Linked DNA regions of Oreochromis niloticus. The protein of the gene in region 2 binds, or shares a complex with, the protein of the main gene of each other region. Links are inferred from orthologs where the notes say so. Each region holds a gene or a part of one and is shown on either strand. Other genes may lie near its edges.

Evidence for each region.
Region 1: the proteins of stx17 (region 2) and vamp8 are in contact, whole or in part, in a crystal structure (PDB 7BV6), measured with the Homo sapiens proteins. The link is inferred for Oreochromis niloticus from reciprocal best matches to the Homo sapiens genes STX17 and VAMP8. Residues at the interface, in NP_060389.2 of Homo sapiens: Ser171, Trp172, Thr174, Leu175, Asp178, Leu179, Glu181, Leu182, Leu185, Val186, Phe189, Leu192, Val193, Gln196, Glu198, Lys199, Ile200, Ser202, Ile203, His206, Val207, Ser209, Ala210, Asn213, Val214, Glu216, Gly217, Thr218, Asn220, Leu221; in NP_003752.2 of Homo sapiens: Gly9, Val13, Leu16, Gln17, Val20, Glu21, Val23, Lys24, Met27, Thr28, Asn30, Val31, Ile34, Leu35, Arg37, Gly38, Leu41, Glu42, Leu44, Arg45, Thr48, Glu49, Leu51, Glu52, Ser55, Glu56, Phe58, Lys59, Ser62, Gln63.

What each region holds. Positions count from the first base shown.
Region 1 is NC_031977.2:6,104,434-6,116,615, reverse strand, and holds the start of vamp8 (vesicle-associated membrane protein 8), read right to left. Parts: upstream 5,839-12,182; 5' UTR 5,649-5,838; coding exon 5,634-5,648; intron 3,078-5,633; coding exon 2,910-3,077; intron 122-2,909; coding exon 1-121. Other genes in the region: ncaph (condensin complex subunit 2), read right to left, coding at 6,975-7,034, 9,957-10,032, 10,291-10,367, 10,541-10,651, 10,885-11,028, 11,991-12,098. UniProt on the Homo sapiens protein: SNAREs, soluble N-ethylmaleimide-sensitive factor-attachment protein receptors, are essential proteins for fusion of cellular membranes.
Region 2 is NC_031976.2:19,883,935-19,896,794, reverse strand, and holds the start of stx17 (syntaxin-17), read right to left. Parts: upstream 4,864-12,860; 5' UTR 4,684-4,863; intron 4,448-4,683; 5' UTR 4,324-4,447; intron 4,240-4,323; 5' UTR 4,164-4,239; intron 2,595-4,163; 5' UTR 2,509-2,594; coding exon 2,386-2,508; intron 2,287-2,385; coding exon 2,221-2,286; intron 1-2,220. Other genes in the region: nr4a3 (nuclear receptor subfamily 4 group A member 3), read right to left, coding at 9,987-10,249, 11,982-12,160. UniProt on the Homo sapiens protein: SNAREs, soluble N-ethylmaleimide-sensitive factor-attachment protein receptors, are essential proteins for fusion of cellular membranes.

The DNA.
Region 1 (12,182 bases), on a different chromosome or scaffold from region 2:
CCAGTAAGATGATAATGAGGACAATAATTAGGACGATCACAATTATGACCACAATCAACTTGACATTCTTCCACCAGTAGGAGCGAGCCACCTTGTGAGACGTCTGCTTGAAGTGCTGAGCCTACGAAAGGAAAGAGACAGGAGAATCAATAAAATCATGTAATAAATTCTATTGCTATAACTCTGTTTAGTCTTGAGTTGTTAATATTTTGCTAGGAAAATGTCAAAGAGGTACAGTTATTTATTGAAATGTGCAAACATAAAAGGAATTTGTTTTTCCAGAGTCACCAATTGATACCACCACTTTTATTCTTCAACACAGTCTCTTAGGCAGTTTTCCTTAAGTGGTTTTCAGGAATAGTTCTCAGGCTTCTTGAAAGACATTCAAACTCTTCTTTGGATGTTTCTGCCTTTTGTCTTCCGACCAGATGATCCCACACTGCATCAACGATGTTCCAGTCTGGGCTCTGTGGAGATCAATCCACGACTGATGGTATTCCATCTGTGTGTTTTTCTACAAATCAGAGGCTTTCCAGATGATATTGCATGGTGGATCTAAAGCCAACAGTAATCTTGTTGATATGTTCATATTTCCATCAGCATCAATGACTGAAATGCAGGGCCAAACATTGACAGAGCCTCCATTGTTTTTTTACAGATGTGTGCAGACACTCACTGTTGTGCCTCTGTCCTGTCTTTCTCTGTAAAAGCTGATGAGCATTTAAACCAAATCATTTGAATTCATCACTTCATAAGTCCTGTTGCCACTGATTTTCAGTGCAGCTCTGGTCCAATGTGGCATGCCTCATATTTCCCTTCCTTAAAAAAGGCTACTTGGCATCCACCCTGCCACTGAGACCATTTCTGATGAGGCTTAAGGGAACAAGATGGATCAGCTAAACATCACTAAGATGTCAAGTCATAGCTGGGTTTTTCCCCCTCTTTCAGATGCTCTTCATCTGTTGTAGATGTAGTTTTAGGCCTGTCCACTTGTCCCGTTTCCTCAATATTTTCTTTTTGGTAAATGGCATCTGGGTATGTTGTACAAAGTTTTCAGCTTATACAATACCTTTCATGCCTGTCATGAGTCATCTTCGGCATTGTTCATAGATTCAGATAAAGAAATGAGAAAAAAATATGTTTCTGTAACAGGCTGCTATTTTTTTTTTTTTTTTTTTTTTTTTTTTTTAACCTGTCCCGTTTGGTTCTTTTGCCATCAGAATTATTGTCTAAAGGCGAAGAAAGATGCCCAACGGAACAGGCTGCTATTACCAAAGTGCCCAATTTAAAATGGGTTCTTTTTAACATTTTGTCTCTTATCTGTAGAAACAACACTGATTCATGGAATAGATGCCATGAGAGCGAATGTTCTCTGTGGGGGTCAGACACATAACATGGAAATCAAAGTCACCATAAACTTAGTGACTGAAATGGCAGCTTGTTGCAGTTAGATGTTTGCCTCGCAGTGTGTGGTAATATTGTAAAAAGGTGTACTCTAACACAAACTGTGATGCTTTTCCAAAATCTCACCACATCCTGTATTTTAGTACATTAAGTAGTGACAGAAAAGTAAAGTAAAATGAATGTGTAAAATAGCACCTGGAAACTCAAATTAGTGCTTGTGTTATTAGTTTATTTTTATTTTACCCAAAATACCACTGAGATCAAAATTAAAAGATCTCTGTGTCTTTAAAAAGAAACCTGGCCTCTGTCATGTCACCTAAATCTAAGTCAGAAACTCTGCTGAATTATAGGTAGTCCTAAAAAAGATGGAGGTACCTTCCTTGTCGAAAAATGAAGCAAATATGGAAGTTCCTAAACCTACAGTCTCTCTGAAGGCCACTTGAATATGACAGCTGTAGTAGCAAAAAGACTTCTGGTCCTTCAGAAGCCTAAAGAAAAACATTGTTCTGACCTGATTTCTAGAAAGTGTTTGCTAGTGAGTTTATGGTCCTAGTTTTTCTTTTTAGGTCATAATGAATAAAAACTATTTACTAAATCTTAATTATACCAAGGAAGATTATATGTGGTATTTTCTGCTCACTCATTATCTAACAACTTACCAATAACAAATCCTTATCCAGTGAGCACGCAGTTTTACTTTTAGCTCCACCTCTCCTCGTCACATCCATTTTTTCAAAAATGGCTTCAAAACAGGATTTCACAAACCAATGAGGGATGTATGACGGAGCATTAGGACAACATTAAAAACAATTGTGTTCAATTTGAGATTACAGTCAAAATAGTATTTTGAGAAAAAGTCAAAATGTGAAGATTAAAGTCGTCTACATTGTATAGAAGAGTTTTTAAAATTGTATTTCAGAATCTGTTTTAGTTACAAGACATGTGTCCCTTATACTGCTCATTAGATGTCACAGTAACCATGTCCATCTTTTACACTGTCTATGGCTGTAACATTAAGCCTGATTAGGAAATGAATGCTATTACTGTGTTTAAGATCTTGTTTTTCCATGAATGGAAATGGAATGTAAGTGTGGTCAAATACAACTGTTTAAGCTCTAAGAAGTCTTTTCCTGCTGCAACCACAACCTCAAGAGTACAAACGGATAACAAAACAGATAAAAGAGTAATTAGCTTTACTGCTAGGGGACGCTATAGTTGACCTCATTTGGTTTTTATTTTACATTTTACACAGTTGACTTTGTAAAAATCCTTAAAGTTGAATAAGGGCATGAAAAAGGCCACACTTCACCTGTTCTGTTCTGTAATGTGGAGAACCTGACACCGCCCGAAGTGACTTGTTATTCTGGTTTAACTGAACAGTATCACTAAGGTCACAGCTTACCAAGCTTTATTTACAAATGTGCATGTATGGGAGTATTGTCCACATCTCAGCCTGCTTTTACACACAGCCAAGTGAAAGTTAAAACTCTCACGATCACACTGACCCCTGCTTGCAGATCCTCTGTCTTGCCCATTAAGTCATCCAGCCTTTCTCCTCGTGCCAGGATCCGGTCCACATTCTGAGTCATGATGCTTTTCACGCCATCCACCTGATCCTTTAAAGCCTGCACCTTGTCCTTAGGCTCTGGCATTTCTTCTATTCCTCCGCGCTCCTGGTATAGAGAAGGGTCATTAAAGAACAGTTAGCTGCAATCCCTTTGCAGAAACCATTTTCTATTTTTAACAATGTAAAAAAAAAACAAAAAAAAAAAAACAAACCCAACAACCCTCCCCAAAAATACAGGGCCTCCTTGGATAACAGAAAACCACCAAAGCATGATGTTTAAAGACATCATCCCCCCCCGACACACACACACGCACACAAAATAGCGTTGGCATGAACTGCCTACAAGCAGAGCAATTCAAAAAATAAAAAGTATCAGCTGGGTGAACAGTGAAGTCTGCTCATCAATCAAGCATATGCTGCATGTAGCACTACTTTGTTCTCTTGCTTCAAGTCATAGACATTAAATGGGTGCAATTTTGAGATAGAAACTATGATATATCCTGTGATACTGATGCTTAGTTTGTTAAAGAAAAAAAAATGTTAACCTGGTTTAGCGTCAGTTTTAACAAAACCAAAATGTGTCCTTCGGCCCTGAAAACTTCAGGTAGCTATCTCCTGTACTTGTGCTTTGAGACCTCAAAAATGTCAGAGTGACTGTCTGAATATCAAAGGTTCTACTTCTTTTGCAAACCTGTCTCAGGAAAATCTCTAAAGACTCACAGAAGTGCACAGCTAAATTGCAAAAATATCCCTTTATAAGTCTTTGATGAGGCCCGGCCTCTTCATGTTTTATTGGACATGACTATCTCCACATGATTGAGTCTGCAAGTGACAAAGCAGCATATAATGTAAATATGTCCTTTTGACCCGTTTGTAACCACAGTATTTATTTACAAGCCCTTGAGCTGCACCTTGTGGCTGTCAACTGACCACTTTTATACATCTGTGAAGGTCTGCTAAGAGCCTGTGTGCATTCAAGAGAAACGTCAGCTGTTACCTCACATAGCTGTACATGTGATTTCAACGCAGAAATGCTGTGTGCAGTTGGGGGTGTGTCAGTAAACATGCAGGGACCACTCCGTCCCATGAGTCAGCAACAGACTGTAACAAAACTGTCTCTAGGAAACAGGGCAGGTTCTCCTGCGTCATGTGTCTCTCGCCTCTCCTGTTACCCCGCCCTCCCTTCTTTTCCTCCTTTTCCATTCATCCTTTTTCAGAAGAATTTTCTGAAAAAAAACCCAAACTCTGGAGTCATCTTTAATTTTCTTTTTCTTGTTATATCTTCATTACATGTGTTTAATCTCTCTCATTCCTCTGTACCAGTGCTAGGACGTCAGTCACTCAGGCCCACCGAATGGCTGATGCCTATCAAGTATCAATAAACAGAAAGTAAAGTGTCCAAGGCAGCTGCAGAAGGCGGCTACATTAAGAATCCAATTCAAATATTTGATATGTTGTAAGCTGAGTGACTTCAGTCTCTCTTTATAAATTGACAGATAAGGGGTCTTGTAAATATGTGATTGGTGCATGAGGAAAATGATCAAGGAAGTACACCTTAAAATGTTCCAACAGATATTTCCTGTTAAAATGTTTGACTGCAGCTGTAAATCCAAAACATTTATTCAAACACTGAATCCTTACTGCTCACACTGATATAGGCAAATTGGAAACTGCCCTAATCTGTGAGGACACACATTGAGATTTGAATACTACAGGAAGTAAGATTTTCCTGCAGGCTAGAAGGAAACGTTTTTATTTTAGGTCGACAATGTTGAGTCATTACAGATATTTAAAGAACTGCCTGGACGTTCTTAACTGTTCAGCAGAATAAACAGCACTGACTGCCAACAGATTATAATTAGTTCATTATGTGGCCTTTTGTGTTATTAGTTAACAAAAAAAGAAACAAAAAAAGTCTTCATAGCAGCCATTTCTACATTAAAGTAGGCAAAGAAATATGTTGCAAGGCACGCGCGCGCGCGCGCACACACACATATACATATGCCTCTTTTGTGCCAACATTAAATAATGTTAAAACATGACAGCAGTAAACCTAATTTAGCACGTAATAAACGCCACTTCAGCTGCTCTACCTGTAAAAGTTTATTTTTCCCCTTTACTAATAAAATAATTGTAATAATAATAATAATAATAATTTTAAAAAGTGTTGCCCAGTGGATAATATCTATTTTGTAAGGTAAGTTAGCATTAAACTGCTACTTGCTCAAGCAGAGCTTGGCTACAGGCGAATGGCTCCACCAACGACCTGTGAAACATTCTTCAAATACGTGAAAAACAACCGTTTATCAGTTAGTAACATGTATTATAAATAGATAGTAGTAAATGGAAACATTTACTTGAAGTATGCGGCTTTATTTTATGGAAAACAAACGCATCTCAACTTTACAAAAATCATTTCCAACACGTACTGAGTACTGTGTGTAATTAGGCCATTTTTTTTAAGCTGCTTTACTTACTGCTTTACTCCCTCAAAAATGAAAAAGTTAGTGCGCCGACTTAAGTTATTTTCAGTCGAGGTAGGTTTCAAGTTAAGTACAAGTTGATTTATGTGGAAGAACACCTGTTTGAGACTGTCGCTGAACAAACTGGTGACGGCGGGGAGGCTTTCTGAACAACATAAACAAAGGTCATTATCACCTACCGGATCAGTGTCCATCTTGCTGGAAAAAATGTCCTCTATCCGCAAACCGAAGGATCTACTTTCTTTAAAAGTTGACGATTTGATTTAAAACCTTTTAAAACCAGTTTAAAGTCTCGAAGCAAATACGTTTCTCCCTGTTTTACTTCCTGGTTGTTTTTTTCCTCCCTTAATTGCCTTCTTCCAACTGTTAAGTGAACGACAACTCCGTTTCCGCCCTTTGGTTTCCAAAATAAAGCAACCTAACGTTTTAGGCTACAGTGGTTGGGTAAACATTAAAGAAAAAAAGTTTATATAAACAAATATGTCTCCTTTAATTTTTACACAGTAATATTCGTCATTATATTTTATATACTCGTATTCAGATATTGATTTTCACTACCTGTAAAAGTACTGTAATGATTTTGAAGCGAATCAAACTTTCATTGTAGACCTACGTGCTTTTATTTTGCAGGTGCATACGTTTACTTCCTTTATTGTCTCCAAAAACACCTGTAGGCGGCAGTCCCTCTTCTATTGTTAAAGAAGGCGTCATACCAAGATGTACCCATGATATGCTGGCGGTGAAACTTTCCGAGAACTTTGTGTTCAGGATGGCTGACAAACTTGCTTTCTAACTTAGCATAACTGTAAAGTAACCCAATGCATTTTTGATAGTAAACGAGGATGTACATATTTGTATACGGGGTTTTTTTTTTAAGTTTCAAGGGGGACAACAGTGAAACTGGAGAGCAGCACTCTTAAAGATTAGCAGCAGTGGCCTCAGCTCAGTTACTCCTCCCTCTCCTGGTGTCACAAATTTCAGCCAGCTAGCAGCTTGAGCCCTGACAAACCGGTTTCTTTGTCTGGTGAAACTGGTGACGAAGATTGAATATTGGTCATTGCATGCCCTTATGTCATGACTGCTGCAAGCTGCTTTGAATCAGAAGCAGCTAAAAATAATCAAAGGCATTACGTCAATTTGGGAAAACTGTTTGAAAGTCATTGTTTAAGTGTGCTGAAATACTGCCTGTTCATTCTCAAAGAACAAAAAATGTGGGGTAGCATGTTTTGGAATTAATTTCTCCATCAGATTTTAGAAAAAAAGCTTTTATTTCTGTTCACAATGTACATTTTTTGTGTGCTGTTGAGTAGTTAAATTAGCTACACACAGGATATGCATCAATTGCACAAACTGAAAGGAGAAACAAATGTTATACTATATTATAAAGAATAAAAGCATGTAGAGACAGGAGATAGAAACAGGACAGTGTCAAAAAGAAAAAATTATACAAAGTAAAGAGCTGAAAAAGAAGAGAATTGAAGAAAAGAGTAGCAGTAAGCCTCATATGATTCATAATTCCCTCAGTGGCCTTGTTTAATGATGATATCTGACATGTCATCAACCTTCACCAGCTCCAAATTCTGTAAAAAAAACAAAACAAAAACAAACATTAGGACTGACTATTTGTAAGCATGACACAGCAGTACTACATTTTAATGTACTCTGTGGACTTGCTGAACCAGATATGTAACTTTAAGGAACATCTGCCAGCCAATCAGGAATGAGAATGTTTGGACATCCTATTTCAGGAAATAAAGAATGAATGAATGAACTGAAAAATAAATTGCCCAATTACACACCCAAACTTCCCGTTTCCTTCCTTAGTTAAATTTCCTGGTGCTAAAGCAAAATAAATAAAATTTTTTAAAAGGCCATAGTGGCAGAGTCTGTTTCAGGCTTTATTCATGCTGTTGATTGTATGAAACCACATCAATGTCTGATCTCACCCAAAAAAATAAAAAAATATTGCATACCCCCAAAAGATGCAAAAATACTACTTACAAATGTTTAAATTATCAATATTTTTTAAAAATTCAGATCAAAAACACAATTTATTTTTTTTTTGTCTGTCCCGTTTGGTTCTTTTGCCATCAGAATTATTGTCTGAAGGTGAAGAAAGATACCCAACGGATTTACTTTACCAAATGGACCATCCCAGCCTTGCTGTGATGGTCTATTTGATTCACCTTTTATTGTTTATTTTATTTTTTTTTTATTTTCACTTGCTAGATACGGGACAGACTTGAATGAGGAAAAGAAAAGGGAGAAAGAAAGAGGGGGAAAAATGAGCATATGAGCAAATGAGCAATGAGCACATATCAGCGGGCGGAGGGAGGTTTGGAGTCTTCTCACACCCCTGTTCTCTGCGGCCTGCTGGAGTGGGGGGGGCTAGGAGGAGGAGTTGGCTATCCGACTGGGGTCTGGAATGTGGGGCCTCCCTGCTGCTGCGGAGTCGGGGTGGTCTGCTTCCCCCCACCGCAGGGAAAAGGGTAACACCACCTGGGTTTGGGTACAGTTTCCCCCTCCAGGAGCAAGGGTACCTAGACCCGGGGCTTAGAGTACGCTTGGGGAGTGTGATTGTGTGTACAGTGTCTCTCTATGTCTGTCTCCACGTTGGTTGAGTGTTGAGTAATTGCATATGAGAGCATGAGGGTGGGAATGGATGTTTGTATCTGTGTGTGCCTGTATGTCTGTGTCTATATGTCAGGTTGGGTATCAGACGCCACCTCTCTGGGGACATCTCAGGCCCTCCAAGGTATGGAGGCCTATCTCCCCCCACCACTCCCCCTGCCAGTGGCAGACGCCCTCAGACATCGGTGCGTTGGTGGTTCTTTGTGTCCGGGGATGGGCGTCCAGGTACGCACCGGCTCACTCCTGGTGGCTGCTTATCGGGGCCTGGAGCCTGGGGAGCTCACGGGCACGTCACTGCAACCCCCCCCTGGCTTCTGCTCCGCGGCTGCTGAGTGACCCCTCATCTGGGACTCTCCTCAGCTCTTTCTGGGATAGTGGCGCGGCTGCCCCTCTGTTGGTCTTCCTTGGTCTCTTGTGTTCTGGGGGCCTCTGGATGTCTGGAGTTTTGATCTCCTCCATACCTGCTTCATGCCCTGGAGGACGGGGCTGTGGCCCCCCACACCCTCTAGCAGATCATTACATGAAGGAACCTTTTAAAAACAAGCGCGTTCATGCTCACAGGTGTACACACGGGGGCTCACACACACTAACTACACCCTTTTTGGCTCCTACCTCAAAGCACACTGTGCGCTGTCGATCTTACGTGCTGCACAATAATGTTTAATATTTAGTATTTACTGTTATATTCCCATATATCATCGTGATGTTGTTTATTCTGTTGCTCTCGTTTTCTTCTGCTTGTTTTCTTTTTTCTTTCTCAACAGGTGATCCAGGTGATCGATATATGTATTTTTTGTCTGCTTATTTTGTTGGTTTTTGTTTTTTGCCCTTTATCCCCATCCCTCTTCTCCGCTGTTTTTCCCCCCTCAAAAACATAATTTAAATTTTAATGATCAAATATCAAAAGCTGTCATTTAGGATGTAATTTTATTTATTTTTATTAGCCTTATCAGCATTTGTGATAGCTGTCTAATGGCTTACTCTTCTACACTGTGCCAAATAAAAAGACGTAATGAATTCAGTGGAAGCAAAACACATCTTTAAGTTGTCAAGAGTAGGCTGCACTGGAATATAATGCAATAAATGTCGTTATCAGATATTTAAATCTATTAGTCCTCGTGTTTTCCACAACTTCTCCAGGAGAAGAGCAGAATGTACGATGCACAAATGTTTGATAAAGCAAAGGAAAACCTCAAGTTGGCACTGCAAATCAACATGAGGCTGCTCTGACTGAACATCTTCATCCTACGATGAAACATTTCTAACCTCCAGGAGGATAACACCGCTATCCACAGGGCACAAAAAATGCTTTAAATAGTATGAAGGTTAAAACTGCAGTTCCCCTAACCACCACTTGAGGTTGACTCAAAAGAAGGAGTCAATCTCCATAGACTCCCATGTTAAAATGCCTAACTGTAAAGCATTATAAAGCCTGGTACAAAAAATGTGTCTGGTATCTGCAGATGTAAGGTTTTACATCTCATCATCTAGATAATAGAGTTGGAGCATAGAGGTGTAGTCTGCTGTAGTCATTACATAACATTTACACTGTGTGTGCACTGTTGGTGTGTTTTACTGGATTATCAGACTAATATTATAGCTTACTATGTGGTACAAATCATCTCAGTAGTTTGTGCTTCAATAAACCAACAAGGTGCAGAGTCCAAAATCAATGGGTGACATCACATTAGCTTTAACCATCTTTGCATTTAAAGCCAATCTGGCTGCTATGGGAAGTGCAGTTTGATATTGGTTTAATTTTTCATCCCTTGATGCTGCAGCTCATTTTACACCAACATGAGGAGAGTACATTCATCATCATAATAATAAATGAAATCAAATAAACAAAACATACAGCAAACAACACTCACCTTTTCATTGGCAAGATGAAGTAAAGCAACAAACGCCAGTGCCACTGACAGGTTTTGAGCCATTGTGTTTGGTAATCTGAATATGTGTGAGAGAGAGACAGAGAGAGCGAGTGAGACAGAGAATTTTATATCACAGCAATGATGACTTTCATGATTCTAATGGAATTAGTATTTCAGTGACACCGTGATGTAATCGTGTATAGCTTCACACTAGCTTGTCAGAGAAACTTCTACATCTCAAAGCATAATTTTATATCTAATATTCTTTTGGTGAGGTCTGATACTCCTCATTAGAGCTGTGCCATGGCCGACATGACAAGAGGTCTGCTTGTACCTTTGAAGCAACGTCTTTGTGGTTTGACTGAACACTTTCTCTCCACACACTTCAGGTTTCTCCACAGTCTCCACCCCCTATAGGGAACACCAAGGAACAAGTAATAAAACACAGACTCAAACAGAAACGCAGTGAAAAAGGGCCGCCTGGCAGGCAACTGTGCCCACCGCATGCGAGGCATGACCAACCTTAAATTTGTCACTGTATGCACCACAGAAAAAAAGAAGCTAATACGTGGTGTGTAATTTACCTCTGTGGGTTTTTCTGGGCTGTCAGTCAGAAGAGTCCACATGCTGTTCTTGAGTCTCTTCATGTCCATTTTCTTTGCTGTCTTGGCGTAGTTGATTTCAATCTTGTTGACCTACAAAAACAATCAATAAAAGTAGAACTATAGAATTTTACAAACAAAAATTCTGCTTATAATATATCCATTATTAATGATTATTTGTCATAAGTCATACAGCTGTTTCAGTTCTATCTTCTATTTTTCAGTGGGGTATGATAAAAAAAATATTACTGCAGAAGCTTTTGAGCAGAGATGGTACTAAAGGGACGAGCCACTTAAAGCACAACTAAACTAGTTGCATTGCTCACCCTGTGTGGCTCAGGTACCAGATCCTCCTCCCCATAGGTGGACACCCCCTCGAGATCTTGTGAGGGCGGAGGCATGCTGTCACTCGAAGGCTGTGTGTCATCTGAACCAGCAAACCCTTCAACATCATCATCACTGTCACCTCCCTGAAACAGAAGATGAATAAAGATTTGACATGTGGTTCCTAATCAGTTGTTGATCTGCTGTGACGTGGATTTGTTAATTCTTTCATTCCTCAGCAGGTTTAGATGTTGCTTTTAGCTTCTTCCACAAGATTTGATGCAGAAAGGGTGTAGTTTCCATGTAGCGTTAGTCACAGGTGTGTGATACATAAAAGAAAAGGTTTTTAACAGCCGCGCTGATATAAAAATGTCATATAGAGATATAATTGCTATAGCACTGCCATGTATTTTTGTTTCCTAGCGCAGTCAGTGAGACAAGCCTAAGGATTTGTGAGACTGACAGCCCTGTGACAGCCTCTGATCACGATTTAGTACATAAATAAGGAACTATATCAAACTCGAGCACAGCACAGTACCTGCAAAATATGCAACAAAAACACACAATCAAGTACAACCAAGCTGTTCAGGAGATACTAGCAGCTGGTGACGTGTGACTCAAAAGTAGACAAGAATAAATGACTGCACTCAATACGACAGGAACAGCAAAACAGTGGATGGAAATCACTGATGTGGTTAAATGGTGAAAAAGTGGGGTTATTCTACTCAAAAATATCCATTTATTGGTCTTCCAACAAATTGATGTATTACATAGGGAGAGTAGGTGCCAGTTTGCTGCCATCTTGAACACAGGGGCCGAGATAGACATTGTTGTTCTGCATAATCACATTTAATGTATATGGTTAGACACAGGCCACATCTGTAGTATGTCAAATGCCGCAGAAAAGATGAGTCGTAGGCATTTGTAACTGATCAGAACAAAAGGAAAAATATGAATTTTTATTTCTTTACTAATACTAACAATATATACTAGTGATTGTTGTATGTGCGGAGCTACCTGTTGAAGTTATCCCTTGTGATAAATGAACACCTGAAATGAGCTTTCCTAGAATCAAATCAAAAGTGAAGCTAAAAAGAGTTTTTCAGACCTGTAGACCTGGACAGAAGTTGGCTGTGTCATTGGCGTTGTTGTAGTCATAATCTCCAATGCCTTCTCCGAGCTCTGCAGAAAGCCTCTTCTGTCCTTCTGGACTTAACTAGAGTAAACAAGACCAGATTGATCAATATTAATACGTCCAAAACAACTTGCACTCAATTACGGAAATATTGAGTAAATTAGA
Region 2 (12,860 bases):
ACCTTAACAGAGAATGGAAGAAAAGGCAGCCAACACCCAAAGAAGAGCTTTGAATGAGAAGAAATCTGACTAAGAGTTCAGGCTATGTTGAAGAACAAAGGTTGTCATACCAAGTATTAAAGTTCAAGCTTGTTAGAACTGAAAAAACTCTGATATGTCTCATATTCTGTATTTCTATGTATGCTTTCATGTATTTCAATACATTGTTGCACCCACATTGTTTTTCTAGCAGAATATAAAAGAGGAGTGGTGCAAGCTTTAGATATGAGGCTGAGGAACACAAGAAGTGCCCTGAGGGTGGCAGGAGGATTATATCGCAGCAATCATCCCTCCAGGCAGCAGCATGACCTGGGTTCATGGGGTTAGGGGGGGGGGTCAGAGATCTGCCAATAACACATTCTGCTAATTACATGACATGAATAAAAATACATGCATATCCTTGTTCACAGAAGCAAAAACACACTAAGGTCATGTGCCTTTTAGCCTGCAAATTAACTGACTGTATGTAGTTCAAACACAAACACCACAAATAAAACCAGCACAGACTCCGCTCCCCTGTGTTAAAGTGTTTGCAGTAGCTCGTGTGGCAAAAGTGAGGCTACTGAGGTCGGTCTGCAATCTTCTCTTGGGAGTTAGCTTGGTGCTAGGCTAGCTGGAGAGTATGTTATGGTAATGGGAGGGAAACGGGCTGTTTTTCCAGACACATAAAATAAATCAACATAAACATGCAGTGCTAATGATTAAAATAGGAACTCTGAATGACATAAACCAACCTATTTTCCCATCTTTGGACATTAAGCACACAGACAAACATCTAAAGCAGGGCAGACAAACTCCTACTCTGGATTTACACCATGAAGACATGGGAAAGCACTCTGTGTGCACCCCTGAGAGTTCGCCGGGTAATGGTGAGAGGATAGATGTGTGCCTGTTTGGAGTTATTTCACCTTCAGAGACATGGTGGCTTCCAGGCAACAACATCCCCTGAGGCATTTCACACTCACTATGTGAACAAGTACACATGCACGCAGACACAACACAAGAAAGATGGATTCTAGGTTTAGCAGCAGCTCTTTTCTTGTCCTGATTTTTAAAGTAAATTTATATAAATAACGCTGTTTTCTAAAAGTACGTGTGTGTATATGTACACATGCTGTTAATTCCAGCTGAACAGACTACTGGGATTTCCTTGCTATTGATTTGCTCAACAGAGGCATCATCAACATCATGCAGGGTAGCTGGTGACATAGAGAAGGAGACTATAGCTTCAGTCTCAAAAGTGGTTTCTGCTGTTGGATACTTCACTGTCAAAACATCTCCTTCACAACTGTAAAGCAATAAATAAATAAAAAAAATACTGGCGGTGGCCAGCGGTACCCTTCAGCCTCCTAGTAGATACACCGAAGGTATGAATTTCAAAACCCCACGTCCCCTCGTTCTCAAGGTATTGCATTCACAAGATTTTCAGAAAACTTGACCTCTCACCTCCAACCTTAAGATCAAGGTCACCGAGATTCATAGTAGATACACCAATAATATCAATTTGAAAGTCCTACATTGGCTTGTTCTCGAGTTATCACATTCACAAACTTGGCTGTCTGTGTTGCCTGCCTGTCTGCCCAGCAGAGTTATAACAATACTCCATCAACCCTAAGTACAAACTATCTGCTGAGGAAGAGCAAAAGGTGCGTTTGAAAGTAGCTGGACCTTGTGTTGAGTGTTTGTCTCTGCGAAGCTGCTGTTTTTCTGTTGCTCAGTGACTCTTATTCCACACAAATCAGTATTCATTTTATTATACTGGCATGCTTCAAAAGGCATTTGTTTGAGTCAGAGATCATTTCAAACAGGCTTGGCAACGATGACTGACACATGCCTCCCGCACTCAGACGTCACAACAAACGCTGCCTGTTTAAACACTGGATAAAGACACCAGTTGCTGCCCTTTTACGCTCTTTACTTGGATCTTCAAACTGGAACAACATGACAGGCACAAATCAGAAACATCAACATCCGATATTTAAGAGGTCATGGGGTGCACATTTTGGCGACAAAAAATATAATACGCAGAGTCATGCTTGTTCAGGAATTTCAAGAGGCAGTGAGTCACGTCATCCTCTAAACAATCGTCACATTCACTAAACAAACATACACACACACACACACACACACACAAACACGCCTCTGCCTTTTCTATTTACTTCACAGGTTATCACTTCATACCTGAACAGTTCTGCTGGCGTTAATATGCTCCTGATGAAGGCGATCCCATTGCTGGGTATGCTGGTACTGTGAAAGTAGAAACTAGCAGTTATTTATCTGAAGGCTGGAAGTAAGGGTTTGAAAGTGAGGTTGTGATCCTGTGCGCAGCCAGATTTGAGCCGTCACCTTCAGTATGTTGTTATGGTGTTTCTGCAGTCTCTCCAGGTCTGTGGGCAGAGCCACTTTAATGAACTTGTGGATCGGTGCCTCCAGGCGCCTCAGTGTCAGCTTGTTGCCTTCCTCTGCCATGTGTCCCGCTGACTGCCCACAGCCAACACTACTGCGTAACTTTGACAAGGCACCTGCTCAGCTTTATCTCGCTGCGCCCACAGATACTGTAAATACCAGCAGAGTATTTTAATATACGAAATTAATAAACTCCGTCTGCATTTAAAACTGTCACCTCAAAAGGCCAGCGTCCGGTGGCATAACCAGACAGTTTGCACAAGGGTGGCCGTGATCAGACCATTACTTACACTGAGGTGTGACAAAAAAAATCACATTTAACCATCTTATTGTTTTTTGTTTTTTTTAAACAGGCCAAACTGTTGTACACCAAATAGTTAAGTTTAAGTCATTAACATTTGTTTATGGAAACAGACATGTACAAGCCATTCCCCTCTGTGTATCAAAGTATTCTAGATTCAAATGTGAGGCCATCTGTCTGACAGATAAAGCCTGGCCCAAATTGGTTCATGCAGACAATGATCCCAAGCACAGCAGCAAATCCACAACAGAACAGCTAAAAATGAAAAGAATCAAGTTGGTGCAAAAGCTCAAAGTTACGACCTCAAACTCATTGAAATAATGTGGTGGAATCTTGGATCTACAAGCTACTGAATCAAAGGGTGTACTTAGTTTTCCACAGGACTGCATAATATGTGTTTACACTGCCAAAATGTTTTTAAGTACAGTAAGTACTATCATTAAAAAAATGTTAGAAACAAAGCAAACAAAAAACAGTGACAGTTACTAGATAAAACTTCAGTTTTTCGTGTATGTTAATGTTTAAACTATCATTTGAAGAGATGTACTTGGGCTTTGGTGAGGATAACTAGCCTCACTGAACTTTTTTAATACTCTCTGAAGATGAAATTGCGAAAACAGATCTAGTATTAAAAAATACAATTAATTAATCCATGCCTTGCAGCTTTGTATTAACACTGTACTGTAGATGTTCATAATAAAACTGATATGTGTATCATTCAAGCATATACAAGGCACTTAAATCAAGTGATAAACCAATGATATGCCTTCAAAAAACAGAAAACTTAACAAATAACCAATTTTAAATTATACATTTTAAAATTGGTTAAACATTTTTACTGGCAGCCTGTCACAAAAATACACAATTTGTTCTCGTTTTAGTCGAATCTATGAAAAAAGCCAAAGTTCACACAGTTTGACAGGCATAAAATAGTGTGTTTGTACCAACATGGTGATTCCCAAACAGCTATTAGGTAAGAACTTGGAATATTTCGGCATGGTGAGCAGTGTGTCCTGATAAAGAAATAAAGGAAATCGGGTCCTTTAGTTGAGTCATCAACTGTGCACTGAAGCCTCATTAGAAATGGTCTCAGTGGAAGGATGGCTGTCAAGAACCCTTCTTACAAAGCAGAAATGGGGTGAAAAGGCTGAGGTGTGCACAAAAACCAAATTGATAAAAAAAAAATAAAATAAAATAGTGGAATAGGTGTTATGGACTCATGAATACAAATTTCAAGGGAGACAATCATGAGTGTCTACATTCATCTGTAAAACACAATGGAGGCTCTGTCATGGTTTGGGGCTTGGGATATCCTCAAAAAAAAAAAAAAAAAAAAAAAATCAGAAAGCCATAGGTAATTCATTTTTCAGCAATGACATTAATCCCAAACACACTGCCAGATTCTCTAAAAGCATACCTGAATAGAAAAAGCACAATGGAACCGTCAGTCCTGGATTGTTCTCCCCAGAGGCCCAGATACAAGTGGCTAAAAACTTTTGCAAAGTAACTCTTATTAGCAGTTCTTACCAATAAAAACAAACAAAATCAACAACAACAAAAACACCAGGTTATTTTACTTGTCGTTGTTTTGTTTGTTCCAGCGTTAATGGCAATTAACTTCGGATTGACGTAAACAGTTTGATGACGCCTTCTACTGTTCCCTTCAGTCCATATTTCGAGGACACGTCGCACGAACTGTCCCTGAACAGAAAGTGAAATCACTCAGTTTGGCTAATGACAGCAGACTGGCCCAGCAGGTAACGCTAAATTAACCCATTAGTGTCACTAGCTAACTGCTGAGGACGTTAAGAGCTTTGTGAACGGCAGAAAACTTCCCAGACGGAGTTACTAGCTAATTCAGTAACTTCACCCGGATACAGAGAGCCATCAGCCCGCTGCTGAAAACATAAACTAACAGGGCGCACATCGACACTTACCAGTAAAAACACAACTCGACAAAGTCATTTACACTCGCTAATGACTACTGCGAGCCTCCATGTTATAAAAAAAACTTAAACGTTCAGACAACAACTCGCTGCCGCTTCGGACAGCGGGGTTGTTTATAAACAGCTCCCAGTACGTCCGCGAATAGTTTCCGACCACAATCAGCAGCCCCAAAACATAATGTTCCTCATCACTACCCCGTGATGCCTGTCCTGACAGCAAATCAGTGACATGTTTCTAAAATAATACTCCCGCTGACGGTAGTGTTTATTTCCCCCATCGGTCACATTTTATTGCTTCAGGAAAATGACTGTTTATCATCTCTTCTTCATGTAAAGAAAAAAATTAAAAGATTTGCGCACCCAATTTCTTACATTAAAAATTTAGGATGCAGTAGCCACTAGTTCTACCCTGCCCCCCCCAAAAAAGCCTTATTTATCTGAATAGTGTTATTAGATTTAAAACAATATATTTTATGTTCTTTGTTAAAGATAAACGATGACATAACAGTGAAACTGACCAGTTCAATTAACACAGATATGAACTTTTTGTGGCCACTTAACATTTCTAAGTTGGTTGGGGTTTTGTTCGGGGTGTTTGGACTTCACAGCTTAGTCATTTCAAAGCTGCTGGCCTCAGCCCTGATATGTGGTCATACTGTTTTTTAAAATACACTGTGAAAGTGAAAATGTATGACATTTCAAAAATGTGTCACGGTCCTTTCTTTTTTTTCTTTTTTCTTTCTTTTCTTCTTTTTTTTTTTTTTGCCAGCCAGACATTTAAAATAAAATGAACACGTGCTACAAATAAATAATACAAGTTAGAAATGCTAGATTTTTCACACTTGCGCATCTTCCACACAGCTTTTTACCGTGCGTGAAACAGCATCAATCCTGTGGAAGGAAACATTAGATGTGATATTTTTTTTGTCTGTGTTGCGTTTGGAAGAAAGACTGGGGTTCCCCCTCCTCTACTGTGAGATCAGCCAGCGTGAGTGGGTCTATTGCATGTTTCCACTTCTGTTCTTCAGCACCTTTTACCTTTGACATTTAGGCCAACCCCCCACACACTCTTCCCTCAGCGGATGCTCCAATGCGAAGGGCCACAGCACACAGTCCCCAGCTACAGGGGATTTCCCCTGGTGCTGTACACATGTTGTTAATGTGTGTGTGTGTGTGTGTGTGTGTGCGTGTCTGTGCTCATATGTGTTTGCTTGTGTTTATGCAAGTGTGTCTGTCCACTTTCAGGGGACTCCCAGACTTGCAGACTGAGGGGGGAGGAAGGAATAGAGCTGATAGCCTAAATAGCAAATCATCATAAAAAATGTTTCTGTCTCTGTGTTTGTGGAGACAGAGAGAGAGAGAGAGAGAGGGAGGGAGGGAGGAGGTGTCTGGGCGTGTGTAAGTAGTACCCTTGATGTGGGCACATCAATCTGTTTACAAAGAAGAAGTCCCTTTATGTAAATCATTCAGGTTTAAGGTGAAGACTTGCTGTGAGGTTATGGTTTCGTCAGGGAAGCCAAACTCATTTAAATCAAGTGGGCTGGACCAGTGAAACTGACCTTTCTGTCAGTTATAATATAAGAAAATGTTATATAAGAAAATTACATGTAATTTCATCAGCAGTTCACAGTTTTTCTACACGATAAAGAAATGCTGCTGTAGGAAATGAAAGAAATGTGTCAGCATGACTCTTTGGGCTTAAACTATAAGAAATAAATGTGCGAAATTACAGGAAATGCTCTGTTAGCTTGTTGCTCAGACTGTGATTTAGGTATAAAACAAAGCTTCTGTTAATTCACAGAATTTTTCCCTTTTTTTAACCATTGTAAAACATAATTTCTCCTTCACATTTTCCAAAGCTGTCCAGTGGGCCAGTTTAAAGTCTTTGATGGGCCAATTCTGGGCCCCGGCCTTATGTTTGACACCACCGTTTTAAGTGAATAGTCAGAATCAGTGATCTGGCGTGAATGAAACACCACTGTGTGTGTTTAAACGTGTCGTTTGGGGTCCCAGGAGGACTCAGGTGCCATTTGTTTCAGTCTAATCCGGGAAGTCTGTCAGCAGGAGAGGAAGCAAGCAGGGAGCTCCATTCACGTCTTACCTCATGAATCTTTACTGTTTTTTGTTGTGGCAGGTGTGATTAGCACATCCTGATGCCTCGGTGGACATGGGCCTGTTTTTTTTTTTTTTTCATGGTAGACTTTGTGACAAGTCATGGTAGGAAAACACAGGTGTTTCTAATAACATTAAGTATGGCAGGTGGTCCAATAAGCCAGGACACTGCTTCCAAAAAAAGCAGAACCATGAACCCGAAGCCGCTACATAAACATAGTCATGATTTTAATTTCCCTGTCCTCTTGATGTGTACATGAAAACACGCGTACTGTTGTTTATACATGGCTTTATGAGAAGAACTTATGAATTGAGAACCAGAGGAATACATGCTTTGAATCTGTGAGTGTGTGTGTGGATGTGTGTGTGTCTATATGTTCTAATGGGACCTCTAATTAAGACTCTGGGTATCTGCTATCTGTCAGCACTGATCGATCGGCCTGGAGAGTGACAGCTCAGCATGTGAGTGTGTCTGTGTGTGTGTGCGTAGATTTTGCTCTTCATGCTCTCTGCTTCGTGTCATGTTATTTTACATGTAACGCAGTTATAGGAGGAATATTAACACTTCGATTTTCTTAAACATGTACACAATCATACCACTTTAAGAAAAAAAGTGTAAATGTTTTTTTCCTGCATACTCATTAAAAAACACATCACAGTCCCCACCCACCAACCTCCGAACCAAAGGAGGATGAAGTGTTGGACATATATGTTGTTATGTGCCACATGCACTCAGAAACACACAGAATTATAAGTAATATACTGATAATGTTTATGGGCATTTCCAGGTTAGTATGTGTCACTGAAAGCCATTGTGCTTCATCTTTCTAAAATTATTATCTTTTTCATAAAGGGGAAAGTTTAAACATCACAAAACAGAAGATGTGGTGGTGCGTGCTCACTCTTAACTTTACTTTTGTGCACTTTCTTTTGCTTCTACCCACTTTTTTTTTCTTCCCCACACACATGCACAGATAGAGCTGTTCACAATTGTCTAACAGTTGCTATCAATCACCTGGCTGTTAGAGACAGAGAGTGTGTGTGTGTGTGTGTTAGCAGTAACGCTGTTGTGCAGGACGGCAAGTGAGTGATGGCGGTAACAGTATAGACGGCATGTGCTGTGAAATGTCACCGTGCCGATCGATGGTGTTTAACGAGGCTGGAGGCTGATCTGGACCTCATGCTAACATGAAGCTCTTCTCCCCGCCCTCTTCCTCCCCCTCCTCACTTTCCTAATCCCTCTCTACTCTCTGTGAGAGCCCGAGGGTCCCCCAGGAGAGAGACAAGGCCTTTTACCTGTCAAGAGGCTTTTGTGTCTGACAAGTGACACACACACAATCATGCACACATCCACATACTCACTTAAAAAAAAAAAAAACCATGTAAAAATGTGGCTGAAATTTGATGTTTTGTTACCTTATATAGAAAACAATATTTTGTTTGTGCTTTTTCTTTCTTTTTTTGTCAATGAACTTTAAAGAATCAAAACACAGGACACAGCCGGGGTCAGAATAATCAGAACTAGTTTATGATTTCAAAGTGCTGAACAGAAAATCCAGTGAACCAAAGAGAAAGAAAAAAAAAACAACATATCGAACAGGAAACTCTAACCAAAGAAGGACATTGAAAAAACAGCAACTTTTTTTCTCTTTTTTTTGTTTCTCTTCAAAAAACAATGCACAACTCGTACCACAATATTTGAAAAAGCTAAAAACACTTCAAAATATTAGTTTTGTATATATATATATATATATATATTTATATATATTTATATCTATAGAATTTGATTTTTTTTTTTATTTTAAAACCGCCATCGTTGTGAGGGTGTGAGTGGGTGGTGGAGGCCCTGGGGAGATTCCCATAGAGCTGCAGTCTGAGACACAAACACAGGTCGAGCTGTTTTGACAGGCTATGCCAGCTCTCGACAGCTTATAACACACCATGCATATGATCCTGGCTTCTCTAAGCGCACACACAAAGACGGTAGGCGACCATGTCCTCCACACTCACACAGCCTCCGCGATATATAAAACGATAAAGAAAAAGAGCATGAACGTGGAATGTTTCACCCCCGGACGTACAGCTATCTGTCGAGCACCCTCCTCTCCCCGTTCTCCAGGTGAGCAGGTAGGGTGTGTGTCTGTGCTTCTAGCCCTTCTCAGGGTTTAAGTGCTTCCAAAGCCAATTTCTGTCCATGTTCATTCTTCCACACTCCTACTCGACCTATGATTTCAAAACGACTTAATAAAACAAACAAACAAAAAAACAAAACAAAAAACCACATAGTAGAGAAAGTTCAAGTCTGGGTGACTCAGTCATCGATCGTTAGTGCACAGTATCTCCTCTGCTGTCTAAAGCAAGATGGGAGACTGTCTTTCTTTTTAGCTACTGACAGTACAGGACAAGTTTTTGTATTAAAATAATTTAGAGTTTGAAATTAGATTCCCCCTCCTTCTCCATCCCTTCCTCTTGTGGCGCGATAGCACTTAAGGAATTGCACTTGTAATTAAGAGCCCGCCTCAACAGCCACTTCCATGTGTTTATGAAACACCTGCGTCCTGCGTCGTAACATTTCGGCCCACCTACGCCTACGCCGCTCCACCTCTGATATGTCGGCACATTTCGGAACGATCACCTCCCCCTCCCCACACTCTCTCTTTTACACCGCCACCTCTCCCAGCCCTCCTTTCTAAACGGAAGTCCTCAGACAGACCGAGCCGGGCCGAAACACAGATAAACAGTACTCATAAACTTCGGTTCTTTCTTTGTTTTTTTTTTGTTTTTTTTTGCCGAATAAGCTGCAACCCAGATGGAGCGAGGACAGTCAAAAAAAGAAAGAAAAAAAAGTCACTTTTCTCCTGTCCATCTCGGCCTCATCATCCTCCCCCCCCTCCCAGCGTGGGGCGAAACAGGAGGACCAAATAAAAAGTGGTAAAGCGTTTGAGTAATTGTCTTTTATACAGGTGAAAAGCATTTAGCTGGTAGTCCGTTTGAGTGAAAGGCGCTCTCGTTTGGTTGTCCCCGTCGAGTCAAAAATATTTGATTGGCTCTCCGTGCGCTGCATCAGTCTCGAGAGAGAGTGCGTCTTCTCTCTCTTCTGGGTGTGTTTGCATGCTCCTTTGGGGAAAGGCCTTGACGGGACGTGATGTGGGTTCGTTTTGCTGCGTGGTCAGCCCGAGTTGTCAGTAGGGCAGAGTGTCCAGGAACCTGTCAATCAGCGGCGGAGGCGCTACCAGATCCTCCAGCTTCAGGTAGAAGATTCGCTGAAGGCCTTGGGTCCTCTGGGAACGAAGCTCTTCCCTTATACCCAAAATACGACTCAGAGAAGGGGCGGCCTTGGACGAGGAGGATGAAGGGCTGCAGCCCAGGTGGTCTCTGAGACAGCAGATCACTTTATTCTGCAACTCCTCGACCCGCTTTGAGTCCTTCAGACCGGGGACTTGCTCTGTAGATTCGCGAGAAAGAAAGACGGAAAAAGAGATGTTAGGAGAATAATCATTAAATGGCCAAAATAAAGTCAGTGAGGAAAAAAATACACACACATATACATACATCAGAGCTCATTCAGCTGAAAGAGCATTAGCTACATCTTCTTTTATATTGAATTCCACCTCATTAGCCCATATGGCTCATGTTCTTAACAGGCCTTAACCTGGCTCATTCACTACAGATCAATACTCAGTCTAATCTAATAAGCCCCCTTCTCACTGGTGTACCTCCACATGCACGGCTATATGAGCACATTTTTTATTTTCTTATTTTAAACATTTGCACAGAAAAAAAAGTCAGTGCAATTTAAGAAATTAAGACAAAGAGCGGAACAGAAGTGCTCAACAGTTAGCTGATTATTTGGCCCTGTGAGCAGCAAAATGAAATTAGAAATACACACACTGCTGCCCATAGCAACTCCAGTGGCACTTGTACAAGGCTTAATGTGACACTAACTCATTCTGCAGAGAACAGGGTGTCCAGCCCCCCAAACACAAACACACACACATACAGGCGCACTACGAGCTGTGCTGCAGGGGAGGCTGCCACTGAGACCCGTCTCACTTTGAGGTATCCATTATCCGAAGCTTATTTACTGTTTGTTTATGTGACTCTTTTGTTTGTTGTGTTTGCCGCTGCAGAGTCACTCCGGCCCTCCTTTCAGCGCGGCTTTCAGACCTCTCGCCACACAATTCCGCTTCCCTGTCTTTCTTCCCGCTCTCCCTACCCCTTCTTTCTCTATGAGCGTGAGCTCCCGGGGAGAGATCGATGACTGCCTTTCTGCACAGGCCACTCTGAAGCGGTCGATCGCCTGGTGGCTCTGGTGGCTCTGTCGTGGCTTTGCGCTGTGTGCTTTGCCGAGGTGGCAGAGCGCCACTGAGAACACCGCAGACGCCATTCCAGAGCCGCGCTCCACGGTGGGCTGGTCGATCAGGCACAGAGTTAAGTGCTCCCCCAGAGGGTGAGGATGGGGTTGGAGGGCTCAGACAGAAAGAGGTTGAGGAAGAGGAGGCGGCGGGGGCAGGGTGAAATAAGGAAGCTAAGAGCAGGGGGAGGGGGATTTTTTTATTTAATTTAATTCTTTTTTTTTTTTTTTAGTTCCTGCGCATTACTTTACAGCATCCAACACCGTAAAACAGTTTTAAAAAGATGAATATAAACACTTAACTGCAGACTAGTCTCTCACCTGATGCATTTTACTTAAAAAACTAAATCTGCCTCGCCTGCAGCGTGTGTGCTCTCAGAGCAGGCTGCGATTCTCCTTTCATTTTTCACACATGAACACTGATTAGAGGGCCAGGTGTGTGGCAGGTGCAGCAGGTGCTTCTGGGTATCAGGTTCTTGTTTCGGGGCAGAGATGTGTGGGAACACGCATGCACGTGTGTGTCTTTAAGCGTGTCTGACGTTAGAGGATGTGTCCACCTGATCACTGTCACACTGAATCACCAGCAGGCAAAACTCTGGACAACAGGAAGATGCTGTGTGTGTGTGTGTGTGTGTGTGTGTGTGTGTGTGAGCGTTTTATCTGTATATTCATGTTCAGCTTATATGATTGCCAGTGTTTATGAGGAGTAGAGAGGGGATGTTAATAACTTTGAGCACAGGTGACTATATGCGACCACAGAATTAGCATCCTTTGATTCTCGTTCCTCCCGCTAGTGAGCTCGTGATTGAAAATCTGTGGTTACCTGTGAGCAGCACAAGGGCGGCCAGGCAGGCGAAGGCAGAGGTATCCAGATTTAGGTTCTGGAGGTGAGCGGAGAATTCCTGGATGGAGTCTAGCCACTCTCCGAACCCACGAAGGCACTGGAACCTGTGCAGCACCAAGCCGTTACAGAACACTAGTTTATCCTCCGACAGCATCGACCTGAAGAACCGAGAGAAAAAAAAAAAGAAAGAGATGGTGGACTGATTAGATCGCCGTTTCCAGAGAAAACTCTGTATTTTCCCTCATGTATTGTAAATATAGCTTGAGATGCTGGGGCAAGGAAACAATTACAATAAAAAACAATGAGAAAACCTGGCAGTGTGCGCACTCACGCAGAAACGGGACACACATCAAACACAAGCATGCAGTTGATTAAGGTTGTGTTTCCAAATTACAGCATTTTAAAACATTCCTGCGTTTCCTTGTGGCAGGGTGGGGTGAAGGGTTAGGGCAGAGGGTTGCTCTGTGTGTGTGTGTGTATATTTGCAGATAGGTAAACTGTTATGGCTTTAATGTGCCCAGGCTGCGGTGTGCAGTGGAAACACAAGGTTTTAATAAGGAAATGAAAAGTCTTCTCAGATGTATTTAACCATCACTTACTCACGACACACAACATCCCACTTCTTTGACATCAAGCAGAGAAGGAGGGAGAGAGAGAGTGCAAGCAGAGGATGATGGAGAGCTATGACTGGTCTCTATTAGTCTCTAAAATAGGAGCCCGCTCTTCTTTGGAGAGCTGCAACTGTGTTTAGCTGAAGAAGGGTAAACTATGAGAGATGGAAGATCTAGGGGAGAAAGTGTGTACTTGGAAAACAGATGATATTAAAGAGAGAGAGAGAGCAAAGAGGGGAATTAGTGT